Rattus norvegicus: one gene and its partner. The protein of the gene in region 2 interacts with the protein of the main gene of each other region in a biochemical or structural test. Links are inferred from orthologs where the notes say so. Each region holds a gene or a part of one and is shown on either strand. Other genes may lie near its edges.

Region 1 (15,407 bases), on a different chromosome or scaffold from region 2:
CTTGCCTTGGCACCTGCTGCCTTCATGGTGTTCTGCTCTTTCCTCTAACGTGTGAGCGTGGGGGTCTCTGTCACCAAACAAACCAAGGACCTCAACAGCATGCCTTCAACAGAGGAAGAGAACCCCCAGAGTCTCACAGCAGTAAGCCTGGCTGGCCAAGGTGAGTAGACCAGAAGAAACTGGATCCACAGCAACCCATTCCAGCCCCTCCCCTCAAAGAACAGCCGAGACCCACAGCACCTTGGGCCACCTCTACTGTCCACAGAAGGACAAACAACCATCAGTACTTGTCAGAGGGGAGCTGTGATTCCACTGGTGGTCACTAGTCAACTTGCTAAAAATTGCAAACTGAAAGCCAATTTGCCATGCTCTCTCTGAGACCGTCACATGAAGACTTCTTCCAGCTTCCAGGTTTTGTGCCTGGCCAGGTGTTTGACAGCTTCCTCACAAGTGAGGACCAGAAGGCTGTTAGGACAGGGACTGAGAGAGTGAGGTCAGACAACTAGATGTTTTAACTGAAACGTTAAATAAGCACTGATTTAAAAAAAATAATAGGGGCTGGGGATTTAGCTCAGTGGTAGAGCGCTTACCTAGGAAGCGCAAGGCCCTGGGTTCGGTCCCCAGCTCCGAAAAAAAGAACGAAAAAAAAAAAAATAATAATAATAATAATAATAATGTTTAACTTCAGCAGTAGTAGATGTAGTAGACTACATGTGTGTGCTTATGTGTGTATGTGTGTGTGAGTGCTTATGTGTAAATACCTGTATCTATGTGTGTGTGTGTGTGTGTGTGTGTGTGTGTGTGTGTGTGTATGTGTGCTTGGTGTGTGAACTTGTGTGTGTGAACTTGTATGTGTGCATGTACATGGGCATGTGTACACGCGTGCATGGAAGAGAGCCACAACAAGAAACCAGAGAGCAGGGGCTGGAGAGATGGCTCAGTGGTTAAGAGCCCCGACTGCTCTTCCAGAGGTCCTGAGTTCAAATCCCACCAACCACATGGTGGCTCACAACCATCTGTAAAGAGATCCGATGCCCTCTTCTGGTGTGTCTGAAGACAGCTATAGTGTACTTATAATAAATAAATGAATGAATGAATGAATAAATAAATAAATAAATAAATAAATAAATAAATAAATAAAAGAAACCAGAGAGCAAAGGGGTTGGGGATTTAGCTCAGTGGTAGAGCGCTTGCCTGGCAAGCGCAAGGCCCTGGGTTCGGTCCTCAGCTCCAAAAAAAAAAAGAAAAGAAAAAGAAAAGAAAAGAAAAAAAAGAAACCAGAGGGCAACTTTGTGGAGTCAGTTCTCTCCTTCCGCTGTGTGGGTCCTGGAAATGAAAGTCAGGTCTGCATAGCAAGTGTCTTCACCCACTGAGCCATCTCATTGGCCCCCAAAAACAGCGGTTTTAGTTTTGTTTTTATTTTCTTCCAGACAGCTGGTATTGTGGTTTGGAGTAATACTTCTTTCTTACACATTTGTGTTTATAATTATTTTATAGCTTTTATAAATGTTATTTTATTATAATTATTCACAACGATTTTTAAAGGAGAGGGTGTGAACACCCCCACTACCACAAACTGTACAGTCAAGTTTCTCTCACTGGGGAAGCCCCAGTAGTCAGCACATCCGGAGGGCAAGGGATGAGCTTCACCCCGGGAGAACTACCTTCGTTATCACAGTGATACAGATGCACAGTGAGCTGTTCCAGACAGACCAGAAGAGGGCATCAGACCTCATTACAAATGGTTGTGAGCCACCATGCGGTTTCTGGGAATTGAACTCAGGAGCTCTGGAAGAACAGTCAGTGTTCTTAACCACTGAGCCATCTCCCCAGCCCATAGTGAGCTCTCCTTATGATGAGCAGTAGCAACCTTGGTGCCTACTGTGTAGTGAAAACACCCATGCGTAGGGGCTCCATTCTCAGAGCTCTCTGATCATGCTATAGGTCCTAACAGACCTCCCTTTTGCCACCTGTAACACTGTCTCCAGCAGCCCATTCTTAGTCTGTGTATTCTACGTGCTTCTTCATACAAGGTCTCTTGTGGCCTCAAAGCTATCAGGTTGAAATGCCTTCAAACCCTCAGACAAACACTTCCACTCTGCGATTATGAGATGACTTCTTCTTCTTGCCTCTGTCCTTGTGTCACCTGCTTCTGTGTTCTTGTTCTGCTGTATTCAGACATGGTCATAGTAGCCCAGACTACCCTGAACCCACTGTGCACCAAGACAGCCTCAAGTGCCTGATCCTCCTGCCTCTACCCCCAAGCACTGGGATTACAGACCTGCACCGTACTCCCATGACCGGCTTGCCTTTGTTTTTTTCTACTTTCCATTCTTTTTACAAAAGACTAAGGAGCAAGATGCCATCAGTTACTTCAAAAAGTTTTTAAGACAAACCAACCCATCTTTGGAGTGCAGGCTTTGCTAATGGCTGAGTGCCTGTCTTCAAAGGAGAGCGGTCACCCTGGGCCCCTGGATCCCCATATGTCTACCCCTCCCTCCGTGTTGATCAATCAATGACACTTTCAGACATCCATAACTACAGTTTGAAATGGGCTTTTCGGCTTTCGGTTCGGAGGAGGCAATGGTGCAACTTTCTTCAGTCGTCCCGAATCCAGGTTCATCCGACACCAGCCACCTCCGCCATGCCGCCCAACGAGATCAAAGTCGTGTACTTGAGGTGCACCAGAGACGAGGTCCGCGCCACATCCGCCTTGGCCCCTAAGATCGGTCCTCTGCGTCTGTCTCCCAAAAAAGTTGGTGATGACATCGCCAAGACTACCGGTGACTGGAAAGGCCTCAGGATTACAGTGAAACTGACCATCCAGAACAGACAGGCCCAGATTGAGGTGGTGCCCTCTGCCTCTGCCCTGATCATCAAAGCCCTCAAGGAGCCACCAAGAGACAGGAAGAAGCAGAAAAACATTAAACACAGTGGAAACATCACTTTTGATGAGATTGTCAACATTGCAGGGCAGATGAGACACCAGTCTTTGGCCAGAGAACTTTCTGGAACTATCAAGGAGATCCTGGGTACTGCACAGTCTGTGGGCTGCAATGTGGATGGCCGCCACCCTCATGACATCAACAGCGGTGCGGTGGAGTGCCCAGCTAGTTAAGAAGCAACAAGAAAATATTTAAATAAAAGACTATCTGGGGTTGGGGATTTAGCTCAGCAGTAGAGCGCTTGCTAGGCAAGCGCAAGGCCCTGGGTTCGGTCCCCAGCTCCGAAAAAAAGAAAAAAAAAGACTATCTGATAAAAAAGAAAAAAAGAAAATGGACCTTCTTAGTCACTGCCATAAATGATTCACAGGCAACTTAGCCGCAGCCCCACCATTAACGAAGTCCCAGAACAGTGGCTGTCTGTGGCCTGATGTGCCAAGATCCGGGTTCTGCATATTTAAAAAATGTAAAGTAATAAAGAATGTCACTGGAGTTCAAATAGAACGCGGCAGAGTAGAACTATACATGAGTTTTCTCTTTGAAAAGCAAGGATTATCAAAACCACCTCGTCTATCCAACAGCCTGTGTGCTCCCTGTCTAGTGCTGGAGAATTCGGGAGTCCAGTCAAACCCTTAAGAGTGTGGAAGGCCTTCCTGGCCCTAGCTTAAGGGACCATATGATGTTATACTAATGAGTGTTCAAAGACATTGTGACCCTGCCCAAGAAAATCACCTCTCCGTGGTTTTTGTTGTTTTAGGTTTCTTGTTCTTTTGTTTTGTTTTGTTGTTTGGCTGTTGTTGTTGCTTTTAGTTTTGCTCCCTGTTGCCTCTAGCGGATTAAAGGGGAGTGCATGGGGTGCCCTCTTGAGGTCTCTGGATAAAGGACTTTGAAGAGACCACACACAGGACTGGTTTCATAGGTCATTATCCCACTTCTCCTATTAAGGGAAGAACCTAGGACTGTCTGGCTTCGGCTGAAATGCTGTCTAGGATGGGAAAGGTATTCCAGGGGCTCCTGCCTGGCCCATTCTGTTCACACATTTGCTCTGCTGACACTTAGAGTCTGCTCTAAAGCCCTTCTGGGGCTCTGAAGCTAAAGTCAAGGATGAGCCCTGTCACCAAGCTGCCTAAGGGTCATCCTTACCTAGCTCATAGCTCCCTCCCTGCTAAGGACAGTATGGTGGGTAAAACCTTATCTCCCACCATGGCACACCTCATGCTCTGCCAATGTGGGAACCCATTCTGGCTCCTTTTGCCTTCTCAACCCTATCTGGCCCTCATCCCTGGTTCATCCCTGTCTGCACCTCTTAGTACGACAGTAAAGGCTAGCCCTGACCAGCTATCCCCGTCACTGCCACGAAGTTCACAGCCGAGCTCCTCCACATACATCCTGGCAAATGCAACAAAACCCATTGCCACCCTCATAGCAGCCACGCTCCAGAAATTCCACAGTAAGCAGAGTGCTTTTCCTAATAAACACTGGCCAGGTGCCAGGCTGCGCAGTGAATGGGCCATGGTTGCTTCCTGTGATGCAACCTGTTTTCCACAAAGGAAGCAGGACACATGGGAGTGAGCATCTCGGTGAAGTAACTGCAGAACCACATAGACCTGGAGCCTTAAAAGGCCAAGATGGTGACTGTTGGCTACACTTTCAACAGGAAGGCCTAAAGTGAACAGCAGGCCTCCACACTATCAGATTTATCTGGCATTATTTATAAGTGTGTGTGTGTGTGTGTGTGTGTGTGTGTGTATGTGTGTGTGTGTGTGTGATTTCTAACATATTGCCCTTGTTTCTCTAGAGCCATGGGGCCTGAAGAAATGTCTGGTTCCTGGGAACCAGCAGGGATGAGGGGAGATGGGAAAAGACAAGGGGAGGGGGTCTCCTGCTATTCTGCCCACCATAGCACTTTTTCTCATGATGAGCTTGGTCTTAACTAAATCAGGGCTGATCCCAGTTCAATGTGAATATAGGATTGCCCTTACCTGGTCAACGAACAACGTTTCAGGGAAGAAAATGTGTAACTTGCTTTAGACAAAGAAAAAAAAAATAGAGACTGGGAGCACTTTGGTTTCATTCTGGCATGAACGGACATCGTCAGCAAGAATGCCAGCTACGGGTAACTCAACTTGAGGCTACCAGGGCTCTTGCCGCTCTACCCCCTTTTGTGAACAGTCCCAATCCTCTTTATGGAACCTAGATATGCCGTCCAACTAGCCATCCCATTCCCTAAGCCCCTTCGAGCTCCCAGGTCAGAAAGACTCTGGGGCCCAGGGCTCCTCTCTTATTTAGGTCTGTTAGATCTCACTCTACTGGCGCCCACTCATGGCCCTGGCCACAGAGAGCCTACCTCAAACCCAAAGGCTGAAAAAAAAAAGATGTTTTAATAAATACAAAAATCTCTAATAATGACTCTGCTCAGCTCAGGGGCAGCAGGAATGGTGTGAGGGAACCCTTAGTGCTGAGTGAGGATAAATTAAAGAATCCCAATAAGCCGGTGGTGTTTTGTACAGAAGAAAAGAGTTAAGCTTCTGGGACAGAGGCCAAAAGAAAACAGGGCAGGAGTTCGCGTGGATATGGCCTTGGTCTGACCCAGCAGTCTTTCCCCTTGTAGAATCGTGGTTCCCAGAGGTAGTGGGGGAGGAGAAGAAGCAGAACAGAGGCACGGAAGGCACTGGGTTCCCGCAGGAGAATCAGGGTCCTCAGCACCACTCCTTCTCCCAGTTCAGGCCCATCCTCTTGGTCATGTGCTTCTGGATGCTTCCTAGGAGCGTTGAGCTTCTTTCTCCAGCTCGGGAAGGGTTCTAGTCTCAGAGGCTGGTGAAGACAGAAGGGAGTGAATGTTGAAGGAGATAGGGAACAGGGTGGCCTGGAGGAAGACATGGGGGGATGGGAGGGCAGGCAGAACATCTCTGCTCCAGTCCCAGAAAGGACCAAATTGTCCAAGCAAGGCAGCATACACCACCTGAATTGCCTAATTCCTCTGAGCTTCAGCAGTCCCATTTGTAAAGAAATGACAGTAAGTGAGAAGCCTGAAGAGGTGGGCTGGGGTTGCACTTATGAACCAGACTCATAATTCCTACCTCCATGGGGCAGCCTCCCCTCCCAGGGTCATCCGGCCGACCCACGGCCATCACTGCTTCCTTCACTTACACCTTTGGGCTGTACAGTGGGAACAGCATCGACTCTCCTTCCCTGAGCCGCAGGATAGTGGCGGCGAGCAATCGTCCCGCTCACAGTGGGGTACCCCTGCCTGGTGCAGGATGGAGAGATACTGAGGTTCCTCACAGGACACTGTAGTCCTCAGCCTCTTCAGGAAAAGCCACCTCCAGGACTCTCCCTGAGAAGATTTCCCTACCCTAGGCCAGGCACTGCTGCCCACATCACACAAGTCCCTCACTCACCCCACATCTGCAGGTAATACAGCTCATCTCCCCAAAGGGGGGCACTGATGGGTGCCAGCTCTGATTCTCTGGGAACCACTGCCCAGCAAAGCGACAACCCCGAGGCCCATCAGCCTGCATGGGGTCTCCCAGCTTGGCATGAGTCCCTGACCCTACTGGGGAAAGAAAAGACAAAATTAAACCATAAGGGTCAAATAGCTTTAACTTCGTTTTGGATTCCTGTTGCCTAGTAGTTTCTGGTTCTTGATACGTGATAATGTAGATGGATAGGTGGGGGATGAATGAGTGAATAAATGGATGGATTACAGATGGAGTAGATAAATGACTATGGGTGGATGGATGGATGGATGGATGGATGGATAGATGGATGGATAGATGGACAGCTAGGTTGATAGAACTGGAACCCCAACCACCTCACAGCATAAATGCATGTCCTTCCCACTGTTTTTAAGGCACTAGCTCCGGGTGGACATAAGCAGTGCTCAGTGACTGAGAAGTATCTGAGAAACTCCTTTCAATCCCCATCATGCACTCCTCCCCCAAACACAGGTCAGGGCCTACCCAACCCCAAGAGTGAGGCCTCAATGACCAGGCTCTCACCTGGGCACTGTTTGCAGCAGTCGGTGGGGTTGGCACGGACAGGCTGAGCACAGGCGAGGCGAGGACACTGCACCTTCTCACAGTGCACCTCTCCGGTGGCCCCCTGTAGGCACCCATTAAGAGAGGGTGTCAGGCAAACTTCACACTGCTTTTCCTCTCCTTCCCCCACCTCAAGTCAGATATATGTGTGGGTCAGTGCTCAGAGGCCTGAGTTTGCCCTGTATCTGAATCCAATCCTCATTGTATCATACATAGATTGCCATATTTGCACACACAGGAGGAATGGGGAGCTTGGGGAAAGTTCAGAAGTCATCACCGAAGGCCATGTGAACCCAGTCAGCTGGCACAGCCAACACTTGGACCTGTCAGCTTTTTACCCCCTCCGACAGGAAAGCTGTTCTCAAAAGCCAAGGGACTGCCCCTCGCAATACCATCCTGAGACCTCCTCATCAAGGAAGCCCCAACCTCTATCTGCACACCCGACTGACTGGGTTACTATCCCAGAGAAGATCAGGCAGCCATACCTTGCAGGTGCAGACAGCACACTTAATTAGGCCAAAGGGGGGCACAACGGGGTGCCATCGGGTACCCGCTGCCCTCCAGCTCCGGTCACCATCAAAATAGCAGCCTGGTAGGGAAGAGTCCCCAGCTGCCATTAGGATTGGTCTTACCAACTAGGTCCACACTAGCCTAAGCCAAGAGCCAATAGACACTAAAGATGACTACCAGATACGCTTCGAGTTAGTACACCTCAGCCTCCCCTGTACACAAACTCTGTTGCCCTCTTGCTCCAACCCAATGGCTTCTTTGGATCTTCCCATCCCTGGATACACCACCCTCACTTACCCTCTCCTGGCTCCAGATTTGGTAGGCTGGGAAGGTCTCTACTGCGTTGTTTCTCTGTGAAGGCAAAGAAAGGGTGAGGCAGAGGGTGGTCCCTGCTTCCCTCCCTAGAACACTCCTTTCCCATGGATACCCCTCCTCTACCTTTCCTCCCCTGCAGGACATTCACCTGGACACACGGGACAGCACTGGTCCAGTGCCTGCACCGGGTGGGGACAGCTTGGTGGTGGGCATACTACAGGATCACAGATCACTGTCCGTCTCTGTAGAGAGGGGCCAAGGCTTTGAAGGTATGTCGGGCCCCTTGCCCCAGACCCTGTAGCCAACAGTATGTTACCCAGCCATCCTACCTGGCAGGTGCAGAGGGAGCAGAGTGGGTCATAGTTGGGTGCCCAGCGAGCCCCGTGGGGACGCTGCTGCCCCTCGAAGAAACATGTGTTAGGATCTCGGGGTCTCCCAGAGCTGCCGTGTTTGGCTGGTACGGGGGCTTCAGGGCCGGGCCCAGCAGGCAGCATGGGTGATGTAGCTGCCTCTCCATTTGGAGCCAAGGACATCCGCACTCCTTCTGAGGCCAGGCGCAGGCCTCCCACCTCACACTGACTGGCAATGTGCACCTGGGCAGAGAAGGAAGCTGGGGCTGGCTGGGGTTCTCCTTCCTGTCTCTGTCAACCACTGTTGGCTGTTGACAGAAGTGCCCAGGAGGAGACTCTTCCCTTCCCTTCAGGACTCATCCCAGCTGCAAAGCCGGGGTGGTATGCAGCTGTGTGGCTTCATACTTAATCACTGACAAGAATTGAACACTACCACCTTAGAGATCAGAAAGTACGAGCAGCTGCACCATCCTCACATACCTGCCCGCGTAGCTCTCCTCTAGGGTTACTCTTGGTGGTGATAAGCAGGGAGGCGGTGCCCTGTGTCAGGTGCCGCAGCAGCACGGGCTCTAGATCTTTTACCACACCCTGAGCCTGCAGACAGATCACGCACAGAGCAGAAACAAAGCGCTTTTTACTTACATCATTTTACTTATGTGTGCTAGTATTTTTGCCTGGTGCCGGTAGAGGCCAGAAGAGGGCATTGGATCCCCTACAACTGGAGTTACAGATGGTTATGGGCTACCAAGTGGGTGCTAGGACCTGAAATGGGTCCTCCAGAAGGGCAGCCACATTACTGAGCCACCTCTCCAGCCCCACGGTGCACTTTGGGACTAAGCCCCTGGTCTCCAATTTTCAGGTAAAGAAACAGACCCAAGTGATTAAGGCCTTTTCTCAAGGGAGAATAGCCTTGAGGCTAGGTCTCTCTGACTACCAGTCTAGAGCAGCACTAAAGAGTGCTGTGGTCCATCCTACCTACTTCTTTTTTTGTTTTTTAAAGATTTATTTATTCATTATATACAAGTACACAGTAGCTATCTTCAAACACACCAGAAGAGGGCATTAGATCTCATTGCAGATGGTTGTGAGCCACCATGTGTTTGCTGGGATTTGAACTCAGGACCTCTGGAAGAGCAATCAGTGCTCTTAACCACTGAGCCATCTCTCCAGCCCCTACCTACTCCTCAATGGCTTGGGACCTCTATCCTGAGAATCGTTTAGGACAGAGGACACAAGAGAAAATGCATAGTAAAGGCTGAGTCAGATTTACACCTAGGCCTGTCGGACACCCATGGCCATGCCTGTCCTCTCTGCCACAACCACAGCCCACACAGCCCTCCAAGCTAAAACAGCAGAAATTTTCCAAGCTTCCTCCTCTCTCCATGCTCTTACCTCTGAGCCATAGAATCCCTTCAGCAGTCGCTGGGGCCCTGGCATCCCAGGAGGCCCGAGGAGATGAGCAGTGACAGTTCCTTGCTCTGAGCCACCAAGCCCAGCCAATAGAACCTCATAGTGTAAGTGGCAATGTGTATCCAAGGACAGCCAGGCATGTCCTGCTGCCTGACTCCGCACAGGGGGCAGTACTAGTGCCCCTGCCAGAGGCACAGGCAATCCTAAGTCCAAACAGATGCAAGATGACACATGAGATTGTGCTCTTAATCCCATTCTACCCTACCACAGACCTAGGGCCTGGGGAGCAGCAAGTCTTAGATTCCTTGCACAAGGACAACAGGGAGGGTTGGGCAACAGCATCAGCCTATGCATCCCCACCTCTCTAAATGCCAACCAGAGATCAGACAGAGCAGGACACAGGAGGCTCTGGTTCTCTGGCTAATTCTTTAGATGCTCGGATGGAAGTTCAGAGGACGCAGAAAGGCAGGTAGACCGTGAGGCACTCACTGTCGTAGTGGGCACTGTGCCCGCTGTAGCATAGGGCAGTCACGTGCCCCCGAAGCTCTCCGTCTGGGAAGTCCTTGGTACCAATATTCAGGAACAACTCATTCTGTAGCAGCATGTGAGCCCCTCGGGCACCCAGCCCAGAGCAGACACCCACAGCCTAGGAGTCAGAAAAGGATGACCCCTCTCACTTTCAGGTCCAAGGGCTTTCCATGTTTTATGCCTGCACTGCACATGTATCCTTCCTCAACACTGGACAAGAACTTTGCAGGTCGAGTGTCAAGGCCCTCCTGTGCCACATCCTAGACACACCACAACCCTTGAAGAGTTACTCGTCTGCGAGCCTTCGCTTCGCATCTATCAAAGGGTACTGCGAAAGTCACGGTACATAAAGAAGCCAACCACATTCATGCCTGACAGAAAGACACCAAAGGCACGGTTAGTACTATCGCACAGGCTATCTCGCTGTTCCCAGGAGTGGCGCTCCCTATTTAACTGTTAGCTTGCCGAGAACAAGGGTTCCAGCCTAAGGCTTACTAAAACGTGTCAAATGAACAAAGGACTCGCCGAGAGAACCAACGAGCGGGTGAACAGTACTACACACCTCTGCTCAACCAACCTGGCTTCCCGCAGCCCATGTTTTGGCAGCCCTGGCACAACTCTGCCTGGAGCCCTCACCATGTGTCCTCCCAGCTGGAGTCCAGCCATGTGGCACAGGACAGTGCGCTGGTTCTTCCGCTGAGGCTTGGTCTCCAGCGTCATGGCCACCACCTCGCTACCTGTACCTATCACTTGTACCTGGTGGGCAAGGTTGGGGGAGGGCAATTGGATTGACAGCCAAGACCTAGGGCCTTTCCCCCTGCAGGTCAAGGCCCTGCCCTGCTGGCCTCCCTGTCCCCTACAGCTGCTGACTTTTACCTGATAGATAAGGGAGCCATTTCCTAGCAGTATGAAGCTGGCTGAGCCAGCAGCACCCGTCTGGACTGGGATCAAGGCATCAGCCCCACAGAGGACGCTTTGAAGGACTGCAGGGGACAAGACAGGTGGCAACAGGTTTGCCCACACCCAGGTCCCCAAGAACTCTCTCGTATCTATTTGGCCTCTTCTTTAGCACATGTTCGTGCCTCTGAGTTACTTGTACCACAGTGCCAGGCCCCGCCCTTCCTCACCATCACAGCTCTGCCTGGTCGTGATATACCCGCTGATGCGTAGCTCTGGCCCACCCATCTTCTCTAGGACCATCTGCAGCTCCCCCAGCACCAACCAGTCCATCTCTTGGTCTGTAAGGCTGGGCAGCACCTCAGCAAAACCTGGCTCCTGTGAGCAGAGCAGAATGTGGTGGGCAACAGCAAGAGGTCAGAGGAAGTAGCAACGAGATGCAGGCCTTCCCTTACCTGAGCTGAGGCATTGGCCTGGAGCTCTCGAAGTAGCTGTCCCTGGTGGAGAATCTGAAGCTTCAAGGGGACGTGAGCTAGTCCTGCAAGTGCCGCTTGTGTGAGCATTTCTGAGAGGTGAGCACCCTCCCTAACACCCTCATGTACGTACATCTTCCCCATTACTCACCTCCCAGCAGACCCCGGAAGAGCAGCAAAAAATGTAAGGCATCTTCTGTGTCACTGAGAGTGAGCAGGGCTATGCCCCCGACACCCCGCTGCAGTGGGTCCTCCAGGGTCAGGATGGCACTGAAGGTCTCTGGGGAGTGGAGGACCATGACAGCCATGAGAAATCCTCTCTTCAGTCCACCGACCCCTGGGCTATTGAAGGTGCAGCTCTTGACATCTAAGAACTGCTCACTCCCCCCCCCTACCTGCAGTGAGAGCACCCTGCCAAATGAGAGGCCCCCAGACTTCTTCTGAAGGGTGAGTGGGTGTCACAAGGGCAACACGCAGCTGCTCTGCCCTCAGGAGCCTCACAGACAGCCGAGGCACTGCCCGCCACACCCCACAGACCTAGAGAGAAGAGGGAAGAAAGTCTACCGTAAGTATGCAGAACAAGCCAGCTAAAAGACCCAGGCCTAATGAGGAAGGAGTATGGAAGGGGGACCCCAGACCCTCTAAGAAGGACCCAGGAGCCTTAATGTTAAGTCCTGGCTTACCACTTACTAGCCAATGACCTTGAACAAATCACATTCTGCTATTCTGAGCCTCAGTTCCCTCCTCTGTAAAATGGGCATCATAATGTCAGGGCCTTTCTCCCACTGGGCTGTTGTGAGAACCAAAGGAGGCAATGCAAAGCATGCTCTCGGCAAGTGCCCGTTTTGGATAAGCACTCTTAAATGGCATCATCTCACCAGGCCATCTTGGGTGGGGGCAGCAGGGTGTTCAAACAGGATGTTGCCTGTGGGGTCTGTGAACCGAACCCTGCTGGGACGGTCCAGCCTGTGAAGAGAGGTCCAGTGAGACTGGATCTATAACCTACAGGCTCCTCTTTCTTGCCCCCTTTACAACTCCTGGTCTTTCCCCTTTCCCTTGTCTCACCGCTGGTAGGAGATAGAGAAGCGTAAACTTGAGCGCAGCAAAGAGACTCGAGCACGAGCTACCGCCTGCGTCCTCGGTCCAGTCAGCAACGCCACAAAGTCTTCGAGAAGAAAAGATTGTCCTGAGCACTGTCAGCCTTGCTGGGAACTCAAATTTCATCAGGCCCACCTCCGTCCCAGCCTACCCGTGTGGCCATCACCACGTGTCCGCTCCCCAGTGCCGGGTTCCCCTCGATCGCTATAACTGCGATGCTCTGGGTCCCTTGGATACTCGAAGACCAGGCCAGCCGGCTGTGGATCTAGATTGCTGCGCTCTGCATCCGGGATAAGGAATGAGACCACCGGCTTCAGCAAGGTACAAGGAGGACCACTCCTCCTCCGCGATCCAAGCGGCACAGGACCTAGTGTTAGAGCCTTCCACCCTCCCTAACTCGGGGCACAGCGGCCTCACCCTGCGGGCAGGTCTGGCAGCAGTGTCCTGGCAGCTGGCGCGGCTGCCTGCAGGCCAGGGTGGGGCACTGAGGTTTGATGTTCTTGCAGCTGACCCTGCCAGGGCCCCTCCCACGGCGAGCCCACTGAGGCTGATGGCAGAGAACATAGGAAAATTAAGAGAATGCAACCATCAGACCCCAGGGTTAGACACTCTGCTGGAGTCGGTCGACTCTGCTATTTACAAGTTACATGGCCCTGGACAAGTTTCTTAACTCCTCTAGCGTTGGCGTCCCTGTCTGCAAAGTAGAGCTAATAATGCCATTTATCTAGCAAAGCTGTAACGGGAGGGGGAAAGTTGGCTAAAAGCCAGTCACATTGTGGGCGATCAATAACTGTCAACACCGCAGACTTGAAAGGGGTTTCCTCTGATTTGCGAACCAGCCTTCCCCAGAGCATCTCTGAGTCTACTACGGCATAGGACGCCAGCGTTCCGCTACCCTCTAGGGTAGGACGAGCAGCTGCGATATCCACTCACCGCTTCGCAGGCGCACAGCACACAGCGCATCACCCCAAAAGGCTCCCCCAGGTCCGGGTGCCACGTCTCGTCCAAGGCATAGACCTTCCCGCCGAAGGAGCAGCCTGCGGGGACGGGCTTGGCTGGCGGCCGCTGTCCGGTTGCTCCTGCCGTAATGCCTACTCCGGGCTCTGCCCACCAGGCCCTTGGTCCCCTGGCACCGCGCACCTCGCCGCCTCTGCTTTCCCCACCCACCCTCCCGCTGCGCGAAGCCACCTGCGCCCGGGGCCCTCTCCCTGTGGATGTAGACTTGCCCGAGCCAGACTCTCCCCTCCCGCGTCTCCCCCTGGCGCCCACCTACCTGCCGCTCCCCGGACAGGCAGTGGCTCCTTCTCGGAACGGATGGGCAGTGCGGGGGCCTCAGGGCCAGTGCCACCGGCCGGCCGCGAGCCGAGCAGCAGCAGCCCGAGGAGCAGCCGAGGGGCCGGCGGGGCCGGGAGGCTCGGCATGACGCGGAGCAGACAGCTGGGGAGGCGGGCGGGAGGAGGGAGCAGGAGAGGGAGTAGGGCCGGACCGGAGGCGGGCCGGCAAGAGGGGGCCGGGGCCAGGAGGGGGGCAGTGGCGAGGGGCTCGTCTCGCAGTCGCCTAGTCCGCTCCCGGCCGGGCGGGGCGGGAGAGAGCGGGCGGAGGGGCGCTGACCCGGGCCGTACGCCACTCTAGTGCCCTAGGCGCCGGCTCTGGCCCGTTTTATGCCCGCGCCAGGCGTCCCGGCCCGGGGCCTCCTCTTCAGCAAACGGGGCGCGGCGGCGGCTCCACAAGGAGCCCGGCTGAGCCCGGGGGGTCCGGCCCAGCAGCAGCGGCCGGATCGCGAGTGGGGGAGGGGGACAGGCTGGGACCCGGCAGGGGAGGAGGGAGGGACTGGAGGAGGGGGGAGCGGAGTGAGTAGGGGGAAGGGAGGAACCAGGGGGCGCAAAGAGGGGGAGGAGAGGCGGGCCTCGACACCCCCACACACACTCCTTGCGGCCACCCCTGGAGGTGGTGTCCATCCCAAGACCAGAGCCTCGGGCTAGTGAAGGGTAGAGGCTGAGCCTCGGGCCTGTACCAGTGGTGAGCCGGATGGGCCGCTGTAGGATGAGGGCTCGTCTTTGAAAAGGATACCGATCCTCCCCTACCTAGGACCCACAGCACCTCCTTCCTTTCACTCTGGCTGTATTCCTATTTCCCTTCTGAGGTCTCTCCTCTTCCTTCAGTTCCCAGGGTCAGGAACCTAGCTTGCGCTTCCCAGAATCAAGCAGTGCTTCCCCACGAGTGGACTCGTATTCCACCACCACCCCAACCTGTCCCCAAGTCCATCCAACTGTATCATCTATCACCTCTGACTGGTGGTTTTCCTTCATCTGAGGGAGGACCTTATTCCTCTCCAGGTCATTCCCCACCTCCTTCGTCCTGCTTTTCTAGACAAGCCTCCCCATCCTCTCCTACCCCCACCACTTCCCGCTATCCCAGCATCAGGCTTCCTAATCTTAGGAGGTATCTCTTATTCAACTGGAGAATTCTGGGATCTGGGCCATACTCCTTAATAGACAGTCCATCCTCAGAGGAGGCACGGGAGAAAGCCTGAGGAAGAACAAGGGAGAGAGGGCAGGGTCAGGCCCCAGGGTCCCAGAGGACAGACTGTGGGGAGACAGGGACTGAGGAGAAAGCACAGGAGCTAGAGCCAGGGCCAAAGGAAGAGAGAGAGGAGCCAGCAAAGAGGTATTTGTGGGGGAGGCTCGGCAGCTGTCTTTCCTAAGACAGGAACAGATGGGCCTGGTTATTTCTCTCATCACATGTATAATGGTAGGACTGGAAGGGGACCATTGAGCAATCAACGGCAGGCTTGCCCACAGAGCTGAGCTCTCCAGGTCCCTGTACCTCCAGGAGAAAGAAGGG
Region 2 (14,723 bases):
GAATTCAGGTCATGGACCCATCACCTAGAAGTCTGTCTTCCACCATAGTATAGACCAGTTGGCTGTCCTCAGCAGCCAGATGACATGGCTGGTCACCAGAATGCTGACAGACTAGAAACCCCATTCAGCTGGACCTGGTGACATGTGCCATAATTCCGGCTACAAGGGAGGCCAAGGCAGAAGGACCACAGGTTCAGCTGTAGAGTAAGTTAAAGACCAGATCAGGCAATTCAGCAAGACTTTCCTTCAAAATAAAGAACAAAAGGAGAATGGAGCTCAGAGGCAGAACACTCGCCCAAGATGTGTAAGGCCCTAAGTTCAATCTCCAATCAAAGCAAATGCACAAATAAACAAGAGGAGGATTCTAGAGAGATGGAAAAGTCAAAAAAGTGCTTATGAGCCAGGCATTGGTGGCACACACCTTTGATTCCAGCACTCGGGAGGCAGAAGCAAGTGGATCTCTGAGTTCAAGGCCAAGCCCAGTTTACAGAGAGAATTCCAGGACAGCCACAGCCACACAGAGAAACTCTGTCTCAGAAAGCTAAAAACAAACAAACAAGTGCTCACCAGACAAAAACGAATGCCAGAGGTCAACCCCCAGCACACACATAAAAGCCAGATGTGATACCACACAACTAAAATCTCAGCACCAGTGAGGCAGGGACGGGAGGATCCCTGGAGCTATCGAGTCCAGCCAAATCACTGGGCCCCAGGCTCAGTGAAAGACTCTATCTCAAAAAATATAGTGAAGAGTAATTGAGGGAGACTCCTAATGTCAACCTGTGTCATTCACATGCAAATCCTACACACACACACACACACACACACACACACACACACACACACACACACGAACACATACACATACACATACAAAATAAATAAACAACTAGAAAGATAGAAAGAACATTTGTGGCGTCCTGCCTCTCCAGGGCCTCCAGATCATTAGATCCTCATTACATTTGTCCCTTACCAAACCCATCTACCAGCAACTGTCCCAGTCCTCCAACCCGCTCAATCTACTGTCCCTCCCAGCAGCAGACCAGTCACCCTCCTGATGCTTGAAGAAACGAGGCCCTCAGATAGGAGCTCTTCTTGACTCTCCTTCCTGGTGCCTCTGAGAAAATGTAATGCCTCCCTGTGGAAATGGACCGCCCTTTTGGAAGCTGGGGTTCATTGCTGCCAGTAGCCAGGAAACACACAAAGAGGACCACCTTCTCCCAGTTCTGGAGCCCGTGAGCTCCTGAAGTCAGTCTCCCATGTCTCTTGCTCCTTTTTCCCAGCTGGTCTCCCAGGTATCTGGTCACCACCACACCATCATCACCTACACCTCCTCTATTTATAGCAACTCGAATTTCACACAAAACATGGCCTCCCAAATGCACATTTAAAAGCTGATGCTGGTTGGGGATTTAGCTCAGTGTTAGAGCGCTTGCCTAGGAAGCGCAAGGCCCTGGGTTCGGTCCCCAGCTCCGGAAAAAAAAAAAAAAAAGCTGATGCTACTGCTGGCTGCAAAGTCAGGTGAAGGCTAGCCTAGACTATGGTGTGAGACCCCATCCCAAAACAAAGCAAAAGACCAGTGTGTGATTTAGATCTAAAATGTCCCCTATACACTCAAGAGATAAAGATTTTTGTCCCCAGGGCAGCAATATGCCTCTTGTACTGTCACTGGATCATGAGGTATCTGATCTCATCAACGGCTTACTCCACTGGAGGGTTTATAACTGAACAGACTGTTGAGTTATACAGAAGTCATGTAGAAGGCCTGGAGGAAGAATGCCCCTCTAAGGATGTGTTCTTGAATGGTCCATACCTTGGTCCTGGTCACTGCTGCCTCTTTCTGTCTCTCTGCTCCCCCACACCCTTCTGGGTCACCATAAGTTAAGCAGCTTTGCTCCTTGCTCCAGCATGAACTACCTGCCATGATTTTGGCTTTGCCTGAAGTCCAAAGTGATGGAACCTAAGAACTATGGACCAAACCCTTCCCGAACCAAGATACAAGTTCCCCTCTTTACGTTGTTTTCTTCAGATAGTTTTTTGGGTGATAAAAGGTTGCTAATACAGAAGGCAACCAGTTACTGCGTGGTGGAGCTGTCAAGGGAAAAGAGACAGGTAGACACAGGCTACACACTGAGACCAGCCAGGGTCAAGGTTCATCTAACTCTTGAGTCCTCAACACACACTCTCTCTCTTTCTCTTTCTCTTTCTCTTTCTCTCTCTCTCTCTCTCTCTCTTTCTCTCTCTCTCTCTCTGTGTGTGTGTGTGTGTGTGTGTGTGTGTGTAGAACCTGCCTCTTTGTTGTTGTGTGGGAGCTGTCCCCATCACTCACCTGCAGCTTCTGGTGGCCCCTCTGCCCACCCTACCTCCACGCCAGCATTCCTGCTCTGCTTCCCATATATGCTTATATCTCTTCTCAGGCTGGGTGCCATTTCTGCGCACATTCCCCAAAAGAACCTTCAGCAGAATCAATTTCTCCATGGGAGCCAAGCATGAGGCCTGATCTGGCATTAGCCCACCTCCAAGGGAGGAATTGGGAGTGTTTCTAGGTGTGCCAGAAGGTGAACTGAGGAGCAAGCTCCATCCCTTTCTATCTAAACTGTTGGAGAATGTGGTTTGGAAAAGCAGAGGACTGGGTTCAGCTAGCTGAGGGCAGCAGGTGCTCAGGGAGTCAGAAGTTCAGTACCCAGGCACCCTCGGCGCCCGGTGGAAGCTCTCAACGTCACACAGCTTCTCCAGGGGGTGCTTCCGTCCTCTGAACTCTGCTCAGAAGCATCTTTATTTTCACCTGGGCTGTTCACTCAATGACAGCTAAGAGCCATTTGTTAGGGACTATCTCTGAGCAGAATAATGATAGCAATACAGTTCCGCCCTTGGAAGGGCAGGGTCTTACTGTTTATCGTGCAATGAATGAAGGAACAAGCTCCAAGGGGTTAAATGACTCACCCTCAAGCCACACGTTCAGTGGTAGAGGCAGTGTTAGGCTGTTGGGATTGCACTTGCTCAAGCCGGTACAGGGCACAGAATTTAGGAGTCAGAACACTGTTGTATCCTGTCCGAAGAGGCACTGGGTGCTTTGTGTGTTGTGAGGGTAGATGCCTTTTAACAGTCTGAGTATACCTTACACAAAATGCTTGGGACCAGGAGCGTTTGTACGAGAGAAGAGTAGGTAATCAGCTATAAGGATGGAACTCAACCGCAACTAAATTCAATCACGCTTCATATATACCCTACAAACATGGCCCAAAGACCATTTCTTAAATTGTAAAACTTGGGGCTGAAGAGATGGCTCAGTGGTTTAGAACACATACTGCTCTTTCAGAGGGTCAAAGTTCAGCTCCCAGGACCCACATCACGGTCCCAGCCTCAGGAGAATCCAATGCCCTCTTCTGGCCTCCACTGGTAACTGCACTCATGTGCACACACATGCCCCCTCCCCTAATTAAAAATAAAAGAATCCTTAAAAAAAAAATCATCATCATCATCATCATCATCATCATGTGGAAGCCAGAGGACAGCTCTGTAGAGTTGGCTTCCACATTTATGCAGGTTTGTAGGGATGAACTCAGGCTGAGCCATCTTGCCAGTCCCTGAAGGTATTTTCCATAGTATTTTTAGTGCGCCTGTGATTTGATTACAACCAATCACATAAGGTCAGGGGTAGAATTTCCTACTTGCAGCATCATGATACAGACAGTTCAAACAGCTTCAGATTTTTAGGACATTCTGGATTTGAATAGCCAGGTTGAGTGCCTATCATGTATATTCAGGACTGAGAGTGGCAGCCCTGCTTGGAGTCCCAGCGCGACGGCCATACACTTAGCTGTGTGACTGGAACTGCTCCAAAACTTCTGACCTACCTCCATCTTCCACAGCTACACGGTGAATAAGCCGGCCACTCGAGGGCACACATTACCCAAGTGACAGATCCAGGCCAGGCCACCTAGCTTCAGAATCAGTATTCTCAGCTGCTAAATTATGACCATAACAAACAGAAAATCTTGGATTCAGGGATTTTTGTTTTGCTTTTTGTTTTTTGTTTGGCGGGAGAGGATTTCAAGATAGGGTTTCTCTGTATAGCCCTAGGTATCCTGGGACTGACTCTGTAGACCAGGTTGGCCTCGAACTTACAGAGATCCATCTACCCGAGTGCTAGGATTAAAGGCTTGCTCCACACCCAGCCTAGACTCAGGCTTTAAGAGCATAGAAAAGGACCTTCAGCACCTGTGGACTCTTCTCCTGATGTGGACAAGGGGAGAGCACCTGTGCATGTGACCTGGGTACCACAGTGAAGGGTGGTCGGAGCGCCACACAGGAGGTACCAGGTTCCTTCGCTCCGGATGGAGACATCTGCATGGGGGTCATCTCTGGACACTGTGAGGCGCCTGGCCAGCTGTGGTCACCCTCTCCATCCTCCTCGCCCTCTATGCAGGTCTTACCTTCCTTACAGTCATGTTTGTTGTCGTGAAGGACAAAGCCGCTGCGACACTGACACTCGTAGCTGCCAAATGTGTTCACGCAGTCTTGCTGGCAGCCACCATTGTCCTTGGAACATTCATCCTTGTCTGTAGACACAAACAAGAGCAATGGGTCTATGTGGGCTGAGGTCTGCTCACCCCAGGGGACATGGGAGGCCTGGCGGGGATTCCTCCTGTGGGAGGGAGTGCTCTCGCAGGGGGACTGGGTACAGAGTGGAAGGTCAGGGTGATGATGGCGCTCTGGTCACTGCACCAGTGGGGCCAACTGGGTGGGCCTCCTTTCTGGGCAGAGAAGTTAGAGGTGGGCAGAAGTGGGTGGAGGGAGGGCTGGGGTCTGGAGCTGACCAGCATGGGGACCTCTACCATTACCTGCTTACTGGACAGACGGACAAGTGGAAAAACAGACACAGGGACAAGCAGACTGCAAGAGAAAGGAGCAGGACGCAGGGGTCCCTCTTTTACTTCACAACAGGAAATGTCACAGACACCATCAAAATGGGAGGGGGCGGGGGGAGAGGAGAGCACCAGTTCTGTCCAGCCTAAGGAGGCGGCCGGAATGGCAGAGTGGAGGCAGGGAGTAGGTGGGGCTCCAAAGCCCCCAGCCCACTCCGTCCGAGGTGAGCTTCCTGAGTAATGAAGGGTCTGGGGGCCTGGCAGGCCTCATTGGGGGGTCCGGTTTCTTTTCTGCACTCGGAATTTGAGCTGATGGGGGCGTCCCCGAGGGGGCTGCAGAGCTGGCCTCTTTTCTGAAATGAGAGAGAGAGAAGGAGAAAAGGGACAAAGGAGTGGGGGTGGAGGGGATGAAGGGGGTGGAGGGAGGGCAGGAACCAGGGAGGGCAATCAATAAAAACTAGACCCAGGGTCTCCAGACAGGTGGACAGAGAAGAGTGGGGCGGAGGGGCAGGCAGACCCACATGCAGGACGGCCATGTCACTACAGCTGGGTTAGCAGGAGGCACAGCAACAAGGAACAAGACTGAGCCTGTGGCAAGGAGAAGGGCTGGAGGGATGGCACACTTCCGAGGAGTGCACATGGGGGAAGAGAAGCTCAGAGTCGCTGGGAGAGGGGAGTGGTGGGAAGGGCTATGTAAAAGCTCTGCTCACCCTCCTTCAGACAGCTGCCTACAGAGTTTGTGAGACACAGACATACACACCCAGGAACACAACCATAAACACAGCCCTGTGCATAAAAGAACTGTTGTACAAACGTTGAAACACCGATAGACATGTACACAGGTCAGGCATCACACACACACACACACACACACACACACACAAGCACATACACAAGCACACAGTTACAGGCTTGTGTGCCACACCATTGTTCTAAGTCCATTGCCTGGCACAGAAGCAGGCACTCAGGACAAGTGTGTAGATCCCAATTACACCCAGAATTCCAGAGATGAGCCACAAAGTGGAAAGACGGCTGCAGGCATTCCACTGTCCACGCAGGTTTGTGGGAAGTGGACACTGTTCCTAATCTAGCCTAAGGACTGGAGCCTGGGGACTGCAGCACTGACTCCTAGAAGGCCCTATTTCTCATGCTCAGGTGGGCTAGACCCATCAAGAGTCCACAGGAGCGTGTGTCTAAGAGGTAGAGTTGTCAATTCCCTTCCCAAAACTTCTTTCTCTGGCTATCAGAGCCTGACCATGGGAGTTAACATTATGCCTGTCTGTGAGACATACCCTGAGGTGTGTGGGGTGCCTCTCCTGGGACTCTGATAGAAGTCCAGGGAGCTCAGCTCACAAAGTAAGCCATGGCTTCCCAAGCATATTTGGACCCTCATGCCTTCTTCATATATGCTCCCCAAATACCTAGTCCAGTGCTTGGGACACAGGTGGGGTAAAAGAAAACTGTTAAGCCAATGAGTGGATGGGTACGTGAAAGACTGAAGTAATGTGTGGGGATGTCAGTTCTGTGAATGGCTGCCTGCACATCTAGGAGGGGACTCTGGCACACCCGGAAATGTGGACGGTCCATTCTGTGACTGAAGAAGACATTGCAGGGGATCAGGGCAAGGGAGGTGGCACAGACCCCAACAAGGAGATGGCACTCACCCTACAGTGCCCAAATGCCCCGGAGGTGCTGGGGTCAGACTGAAGGTCTTCAGGCTCTGCTTCTCCTTCTTGTCTTAGGGTCTCCTCGATGGGTGTCCCAAAAGTCCACACAGCCCCCTCCTGGGGGTCAGAGTCACATGCCCCAGGCCCTGAGGCTGAACTCTGATGCCCATTGATGAGGGTCCTCTGCAGGTTTCTTGTGCAAGGGGCAATGCATATATATGCATGCATGTGTGTATACATATGGTGTGAGCACGTGTACATGCGTGTACATATCTCGTACAGTGTTGAGTGCTATGTAAAGGGTGGGGAGACAGGGCAGTGACTCCAAACAAACATGGGTACCCCCACATCCTCTCCAAGACTGGAGTAGCAGAAGGGCAGAGACAGACAAGAGTAAGCAGGTAATGGTTTCTATGAGAAGCCCAGCCTGGCAGATATTCTATGCCCTCAGCCCTCTGGAAAGCATTTTTTTTTTTGTCTAAGTGGGCCTAGGAAAGGATGGGCAGGCTTGGTGTTACATGGAGAAGGTCTCAGCAAGCAATGGGGCAGGGGACTGGGGGCAATAGCTCAACAGAGCATGTTAAGCAGAGCAGGAGAGCTGGCAGTGCCAAGCAGGGAACCAGTGCACGGGGACAGGTGCATGGCATCCAGGTGGGACAGGCAAGGGTGCAGGGCAGCCACATAGGGGGCTGAAGGATGCGGGACCCTGGGTAAGGAGGGGAGAAGGGAGGCAGCGTGGATGAAGTCATGGGCTTCCTGGGCCTGCCCACCCTATGTCCACCCCACCAGGAAAAGTCAGGCTGAAGGTCCCTAACCCACCCTTCCACAAGCCACCTGCTCCTCCAGCCTGCCCACTGGCTTCCTGTTCTGTCCACACCCCACCGTAGAGTGTTCCTACCATTCACTGCTGGGTCTGGGCCCTTTTGCTCCTTTCCTCACACTGACCTGAGGGCCAAAGACTTAGGGATTCCTAGAACAGGGGAGAGGTCTCCCAGGACCCCAGAGGTCCAGCTTGGGACGGCTGGGTTTGGACCACACAGAGAGGGGCTGCAAAAGGGCCAAATAAAGCTTAAGGGTGGATGAAGCCAGGCCTTCCACGGGCAGGGGAACGGGTAGTTTTGTTACTAAAGGGCAGAGAGGACTTCTCTTGTGGGAAGGCCTGGCATGAACCCAGTGGGCTGGGTGGGCGGGGCCTGATTAGAATTGCAGCTGCTGCAAGATGGACTACCCCACACAGTCCACGACACCTCCTTCTACTCCATTCCGTGTTCTCAGGCAACTGAACCCCTGTCCTAGGGCCTCCCCTTTCAGGCCTTGGCTTGCCAGCCTCCTCATTTCTGCCCTTAAATGCTCTGCCCCTCCCTAGGCCCAGCATAACTAAGGTTTTCAGGGCTTCCCAATAAAGATATTCAGGTGCCCCAGGGGCTGTACTGATGGAGGATAATAAGTTGGGGAGATAGGGGGCTTAGGAGACCAGGGAAGGCAAGAGGGCTCCATCTGTCGGAGGCAGGGCTAGAGCAAGGGACCCAGGGTTACCTGAGAAGAAGTGGGCCTTGAAGCCCTTTTTGGACACAGTATTGTCAGACTTGAACTCCACACGCATGTTGTTGTACTGGGAAGTGATGACCTCTGGTTTCTCGGAGCCACAGAACTTGCCATGTAGTTTAGAGTCGGCTGTGAGTCCGCTGCGCACCTCCACGAAATCATACTTGCACACCTGCCAGAGAGCCCAGCTCTGGATGCTGCCTCCAGGAAGCCTCTCTCATGACTACTCACTCACTGGGAAACTGTCAGGCTCAGCGTCTGTTCTCCCAACAAAACTGCATCACAGAGCCCCAGGGCAGCTGGCCCCAAGCCCTTCCTCATTCCACAGGCTTCCAACCAATGCCCATCCTCATCTGCAGAAGCTCCTTCATGGCCCTGCACACCCTCCAAGCTTCCATGTACTGGAAAGTCTCTGTTCTCCGAGCCTAGTATCTAATTCTCCCAATGGTGGAAGGCAGGCACTGAGCCAAGCTCCTACACCCCACACCTTCCTACCCACCTTGGCTTCAGAGGCACTTACATCATTGCCCTCAGTCTCGAAGAAGTCAAATTGCAGGGAGATACGGTACTGGGTGGGGGCCACCAACTGCCAGATGCAGTTTTTGTTGGGAGGGTACTCTTTGGGCCAACCGGGGCTGGTGATGGAGCCATTGAGCTTGGTGAGGAATCCACCGCAGGCAGCTGGAGGGACAAGCGAGGTAGCATCATCCACCAGAAAGGGACGTGAGGCTGAGCAGCAGTCAGGGGGAGATGGGAGTCTATGGGCCCACAAGTCGGAGGCCTGGGAGCCCAGATTCTAAGATCAAAAGGGGCTGCATACATGGTCATTTCTACTACCTCTTCTGGAAGATGGGCCAGGAATCTGCTGGGAGGGGACACAGAGGGGCCTGGTGAATGTATAAATGGGCAGTCCTGGGAGGCAGCCAGAGGCATTGGTCAAAGGCAGTAAGACCAGCCTGATCTGGAACTGCTATCCTGAAGCATACACTAGCATAGCATACAGGCTTAGACTCTCTGCAAACAGTGGCATCTGAACGGTGGATCATGACCCTTTGGAAGATGGTGACATCAATCACCAGATTAAGATCAGTATTAACAAAGGAGTCAGAGTAAATGCCCCTAATGCCAGTGTGTATCACACTCTGACAATGTTCTGGGGGCTGACATATAGGACACCTTTCTCCTTCGTGACTGGGAATGGCACTAGAGAACTTTTCCAGCCTGTCCCGATATGATTGACTGAGGACACAGGAAAGAGCCCAATAGTCCTGGGATAGTGGGACACTCACCTTCACACCGACGCTTGTCTGGGGCCAGCTCATAGCCGGGGTCACAGCTGCACTTGTAGCTGCCCAGGGTGTTTAGGCACCGCTGCTCACAGCCCCCGCGGTTGGGCCTTGAACACTCATCTACCTCTGTGAGAAAGAAAGAAAGGGGTGTCACCAACCACAGGCTGGACTTTGCTCCTTCCTCCTGCACTGAGCTTGAGGTTCAAGCCCAGAGGTTCAGGGTTCCTATGACCTCTCTCCCCATGTTGCAGGGAGGAGTGAACTAAAAGCCTCACTTGCCTGTTTAGCCCTTATTCCTGTATTCCCATATTCCCGTGGCTGCTGAGAACCCACAAGGAAATTCTACAGAACCTTCTTCTGAGCTTTCAGGCTAACTGGCAGCTACCAACACCTCCTATGTACTAGTCCCGCCAAAGTACCACCCTCTCGTTTCTCCTTTATTCACTTCATGACACCAAGTATGGGGCAGCTGTTATACCCACTGTATAGGTGAAGAATTGTGGCTTGGGGAAATAGTGTGTCCTAGACCACATAAGTTTAAAAACATCCTCCCTCTGTCTTGATCATTCCCTCCACAAGTCCCACTCCTCACGGGGATGAACTTTGACCTTTGGTAGTATTTATCCACAGTGTTTTAACAGTATCCATGTACCTGCATCTCTGTCATGGAGTCTTCACATGGAATGAATGAAGAATAACGAGACAAGGCACTGAGCATCCACAGAAGGAGAATGTGGGACAGGAGAGGAAGTACCTTTGAAAAAGTTGACTGCAAAGCCAGCTTTGTTAATGGACCCATCGGAGACGAACTTGAGCCAGAGCCGACTAGATGTGCTTTTGATGTCATCAGGCTTCTCATACCCACAATATCGCCCAATGAGGTTGCTGCTCTCACTGTGCCCATCTCGGACCTCCAGGTAGTCGTAGGCACAACTGTCGTGACGCTCGATCTAGGAGGCAGGGGCTCTATCAGGGAAAGGAGTTCTGCTTTCCAGGATCCCCATCCCCAGAGCCTTCAGGAAAGCAGACTGTCCTGGAAACCAACATAAGCATTGTAGGGTGGATTCGAAGGGTCTGTGCCAGGCTACCTCAAAGGACTGGAACGTGAGGCCCACGTGGAAACCCTCAGACACCTGGATCCGCCAGATGCAGACTTTGCTGGGCCGGTAATCGTCGGGGTAATTGGGTGACTGGATGTGACCGTTATCCTTTTTCACGTCACCACCGCAAATGGCTATGGGAACCCAGGATGGGGTGGTAGTGAGATGGAGCACGGGATAATGGTGGTCAGCAGGCCAGGCCCTGCCTAAGTGCCCCTTCCCCACTCTTCCAGCATACCCCATCCCCGTTTCCCACCCGCTAACCCTGCTGGAGAACCAACAGGAGGGAGTGGTTCTGGAATGTCCCAGGGCCCCCTTCCTCTCCCTCAGTACCTTCGTAGACAGCAAAGAAGCCCTTTCCAACCCAATTGCTGCTGCTTCGGAATTCCACCCAGAGGCGGCTGTCGGTGGAGACAATGGGCTCGGGGAGTTTCCCCCCACAGAACCGGCCTGCAGACAATGAAGACAGATGACGCTTGAGTCCCAGGTCTCCTCATGTAAGCCCCAACTTTCTGGGAGGCTCGGTGCTCCAGTCTGCAGCCCCTACTGTGCCTATTCTTATGATCACCACAAGAACCAGAAACCCCTTGAGACAGGGCAGGAGCTGCAGAACATGGGTGTTTTACTGACTTGCTTTTCATCGTTGATATTTTGAGGGGTTTGTGTTTTGGAAACCCTTGTTGTTTGTCTTTTTTTTTTTTTTTTTTTTTTAATTGTGTATTTATCTTATGTATGTGAGTACACTGTGGCTGTCTCCAGACTCACCAGAAGAGGGCATCGGATCCCGTCACAGATGATTGTGAGCCACCATGTGGTTGCTGGGAATTGAACGAGGTCTCACTATTTAGGCCAGGCTAGCCTTGAATCAAAAGTTCAAGGCCTCAGCCTCCCCAGTGCTGAGATTATAGGCCCAAGTGAGTGAACTGAAGCATGACTTTGTGCATGTTTGGCAGGTACTCTACCAGATGAGCTACTGTCCAGACCCTAGCCTTGAACTTTTGGTCTCAGCCTCCAAAGTCCTGGATTAAAGTTTTATTGACCTATTTTTTGTTTTTTTGTTTGTTTGTTTTGGTTTTTCAAGACAGAGTTTCTATGTGTAGCCCTGGCTGTCTTGGAACTCAGTCTGTAGTCCAGGCTGGTCTCGAACTCATGGAGACCTGCCTTACTCCTGAGTGCTGGGATTAAAGGCATTTGCCACCACTGCCCAGCATTCCTGACCTTTCTAAAGTGAAGCTACTATCACTACTGATCTATATGAGATCTCCATGTAAAGAAGCAACAAGAGAGAAATAGTGTGAAAGCAATTCCTGATACCAACAAATACCTGATACCAACAAATAGACAGTTTTCTCTACATATAATGTCATAGCCTGCTCTTCCGAGCATGCCAACACTGGGTCAAATTCAGGGAATGCTTTTTGGAACCCCAAACTCCAGAATCTGAGGACAGGGCCAGAAAGCAATTCTGCTCAAGTAAAACTCATTAAGAATCAACACAAAGGTTGAGGCTGGCCATCTGTAAAATTCTTTGCAGTCAAGAGTTGATTGGGGATGACTTGTGTGCTCCTGAAAGACAGAGTGTTCTCTCATATTTCAAGCAAGGGACAGAAGGTGGGTGCTGGCCTAGGGATGTCAGTTATGAGAACGAAATCGTAATCTCAGAGACCTAACACATTGCAGAGGAGATTCAATGCCAGTCGCTCTGGGTGACTAACAGGTCCACTAGAATGTCAGAAGCAGAAGTGGGGAGTAATCAACCGAAAGCATGTGGCTGCTTCCCCCAGATGAGGGACAAAGGTGCTGAGGGGGTAGGCAGCCCGAATCACTTCCGGCTACAGACAACACAATGAACAATGTCGCACAACACCTCAAGCTTGATGCAGATGTCCCCTTTGCTCTAATTCTGTGTCCACTGACCTGCCTCTATATCCAATGGTGCTTTAGATTGTGTTGTGGTTAAGATAGGACCTTGCTATATAGCCCAGGCTATCCTCTAGCTCAGGATCCTTCTACCTTTGGCCTCCCCAGAATTAGAAGTACAACACTACTCTGCCTTGCATTGTCCCGTGGCTTTGAGCGATCTTTATCCCACTCACTTCATATGTGTGTATGCACGCACATGTACACAGACGTGCAAACACACACACAATTAGTGACAAATGCCATGTACAAACAGTGCCAGGCCAATGTTCCAGGCCTATAGTTATTAAGGTGAGTTAAGGGTTAAAAAGGGTCTATAGCAGGTTAAAAGCCAGGCCATATCATGGACACCCCAAAATTAGACCTTATAGATCAAGGAAAGCCCAGTGAGGGTGTGAGCCTGGAACTACGGGATGCGAAGAGCAGCCTGCCAGGCACGTTTGTATACTCCTTTGACTCCCAAATCCTCATAGTGAAAGAACAGCTCTGGAGGGTAGCCCCAGAGCTGGCACTAAGACCTGAGTGTGTCACACACAGGACTCGCCCACTGTCACAGCACTAGCTAGTGTTGGGACTACTGGGACAAACTATATCAGAGCTTGTAGGTCTCATATCAGGATGTCACCCCACCTAGAGTATTGGGTCCCAGCATGTTCCAACAAAGAACCAGGGGACTGAGGGAGCTCAGGAGCCAATGCCCTTTACCTCGGAGGGGCGCCTTTCTCCAGAAGCCATCCCGCACCTCCACATAGTCATACCAGCACAGGCGGCTACGGTACAGGTCCATAGATGTGAAGTTCAGAATAATCTAGGGGAAGAAATGAGGGGTGAGGAGAGAAGGTTACATGGCTCCCACTCTTCCTGCCCCTGGGGTCAGGCACATGCCCACTGCCTAGCTGGTGGGAAAGTTAACCATCACCAGCCATGGCCAGCATTGTTCCCACATGGCCCTCACCAGACTAACTAAAAACACCTGTCCACTATTCCCACTACCAAACATCCACAAGGGCTCAGGGCTTCCACTGCCTTGCACTCCCCACCTGAGTAGAGGGCTACTGTGCTGACTTAAATAACCAGTCTTGCTTCCTCACAGTCAATATAAATAGTGATGTCCTTAGGAAGAGGGCAGGGCCAGGAAGGGCCCAGAATGGTGTGAGGGTGTGTGGAGTGGGGGGGGCGGGTCTGAGATGGGAAGGAAAGGCCAGAACAGAAGTTGAGACACCAATCATACAAACTCATTGGGCTCTGATTCCCAGAAGGAGCATGGTGTCTACAGGGAACTAATGTCAGGTCACAGTCCCTCTGGGGAAATGGGTTTAACATACATATCTGTCCTTATGAAGCATGTGAATGAGATTACATAAGTATGAAGACTGTACAGAAAAAAATGTAAACCCCAGCCCAAGGGCCTGGCTTTGAATCAGCCCTGTATTTCCTCTAAATCCTAGGGTCAGCCACACAACTTCAGTGTCAGCCAGCTCATGTGATAGCCTCTGACCCCACGGTATTCCCTGGAGACAGAAAGAATCACATTATCAACCTGACAATGCCCACAGCCCTTCGGTAAGTCTCAAGGCTCCATAACCAAGGCCAAGAACTTTTTAAAAAAGATTTTACTTTAGAGATGGGCATGGTAGCACATGTCTTTACTCCCAGAACTGGAGAGGCAGAGGCAGGAGGATCTCTGTGAGTATGAGGTCAGCCTGGTCTACATATTGAGTTCTGGGACAGGCAGGACTACACAGAGAGATAATATATAAAAACTAACTTTAGTTTATGTGTATCTGTGTGTGTCTCAGTACATATGCATGCATCACATGTTTGTAAGCTGCCTGCAGAGGCCAGACGAAGGCACAAGTCCCTCAAGGTAGAATCACAGGTGGTTGTGAGCCAACCCATGCAGGTCCTGTGAATCTCTTAACTGCTGAGCTATCTCTCCAGCCCCCAAGACAATGAATTTTTAAAAGGCAGAGGCTTTCCCTATAAGGGAAAGTACTTGCTTGGAAATATCCAGAGAAATCCCCAAGTCCTCTGTGCCATCAGAGTCCCCGCAAGGTTCCAGGGTCAGGTTTGTTGTGACCTGTGAGGTGTGTGTGGTTGGACACTCAGCTAGTGGGCTTTCCTGCTAAACAAGGGACAGGGCCACACCTCCCCTTAGCTTCAGTGAAAAGCTAGATGCTGAGAGCAGAGGATAGAATAAGGCAGATTCCAAGTCAGGCACTAGTACCCAACGTCCATATCACTGTCAACAGGACTGGTTCCTGGACACTTTCTGAACTAGCGCTGTCAGTGCTGGGTTTGGATGTTTATTGGCTTTTCATGTCTTTAGTGTGC

What was found.
Region 1: of the proteins of Bmp1 (region 2) and Chrd, one has a biochemical effect on the other in vitro, tested with the Homo sapiens proteins (3 studies listed by BioGRID and IntAct). The link is inferred for Rattus norvegicus from reciprocal best matches to the Homo sapiens genes BMP1 and CHRD.

Annotation. Positions count from the first base shown.
Region 1 is NC_086029.1:93,671,096-93,686,502, forward strand, and holds Chrd (chordin precursor), read right to left. Parts: upstream 14,006-15,407; 5' UTR 13,985-14,005; coding exon 13,837-13,984; intron 13,715-13,836; exon of another isoform or gene 13,667-13,714; coding exon of another isoform or gene 13,601-13,666; coding exon 13,497-13,600; intron 13,111-13,496; coding exon 12,981-13,110; intron 12,844-12,980; coding exon 12,715-12,843; intron 12,631-12,714; coding exon 12,531-12,630; intron 12,432-12,530; coding exon 12,344-12,431; intron 12,003-12,343; coding exon 11,861-12,002; intron 11,746-11,860; coding exon 11,617-11,745; intron 11,531-11,616; coding exon 11,448-11,530; intron 11,371-11,447; coding exon 11,223-11,370; intron 11,079-11,222; coding exon 10,972-11,078; intron 10,852-10,971; coding exon 10,732-10,851; coding exon of another isoform or gene 10,673-10,731; intron 10,214-10,672; coding exon 10,057-10,213; exon of another isoform or gene 9,781-10,056; intron 9,771-9,780; coding exon 9,550-9,770; intron 8,752-9,549; coding exon 8,638-8,751; intron 8,401-8,637; coding exon 8,137-8,400; intron 8,050-8,136; coding exon 7,956-8,049; coding exon of another isoform or gene 7,931-7,955; and 14 more. Other genes in the region: Rpl12l2 (large ribosomal subunit protein uL11-like), read left to right, coding at 2,516-3,118. UniProt on the Homo sapiens protein: Dorsalizing factor. Key developmental protein that dorsalizes early vertebrate embryonic tissues by binding to ventralizing TGF-beta family bone morphogenetic proteins (BMPs) and sequestering them in latent complexes.
Region 2 is NC_086033.1:51,967,958-51,982,680, forward strand, and holds part of Bmp1 (bone morphogenetic protein 1 precursor), read right to left. Parts: intron 13,198-14,723; coding exon 13,095-13,197; intron 10,920-13,094; coding exon 10,803-10,919; intron 10,604-10,802; coding exon 10,458-10,603; intron 10,320-10,457; coding exon 10,124-10,319; intron 9,496-10,123; coding exon 9,370-9,495; intron 8,762-9,369; coding exon 8,601-8,761; intron 8,253-8,600; coding exon 8,072-8,252; intron 6,653-8,071; coding exon of another isoform or gene 6,582-6,652; exon of another isoform or gene 6,533-6,581; intron 5,222-6,532; coding exon of another isoform or gene 5,136-5,221; exon of another isoform or gene 4,898-5,135; intron 4,563-4,897; coding exon 4,437-4,562; intron 1-4,436. UniProt on the Homo sapiens protein: Metalloprotease that plays key roles in regulating the formation of the extracellular matrix (ECM) via processing of various precursor proteins into mature functional enzymes or structural proteins.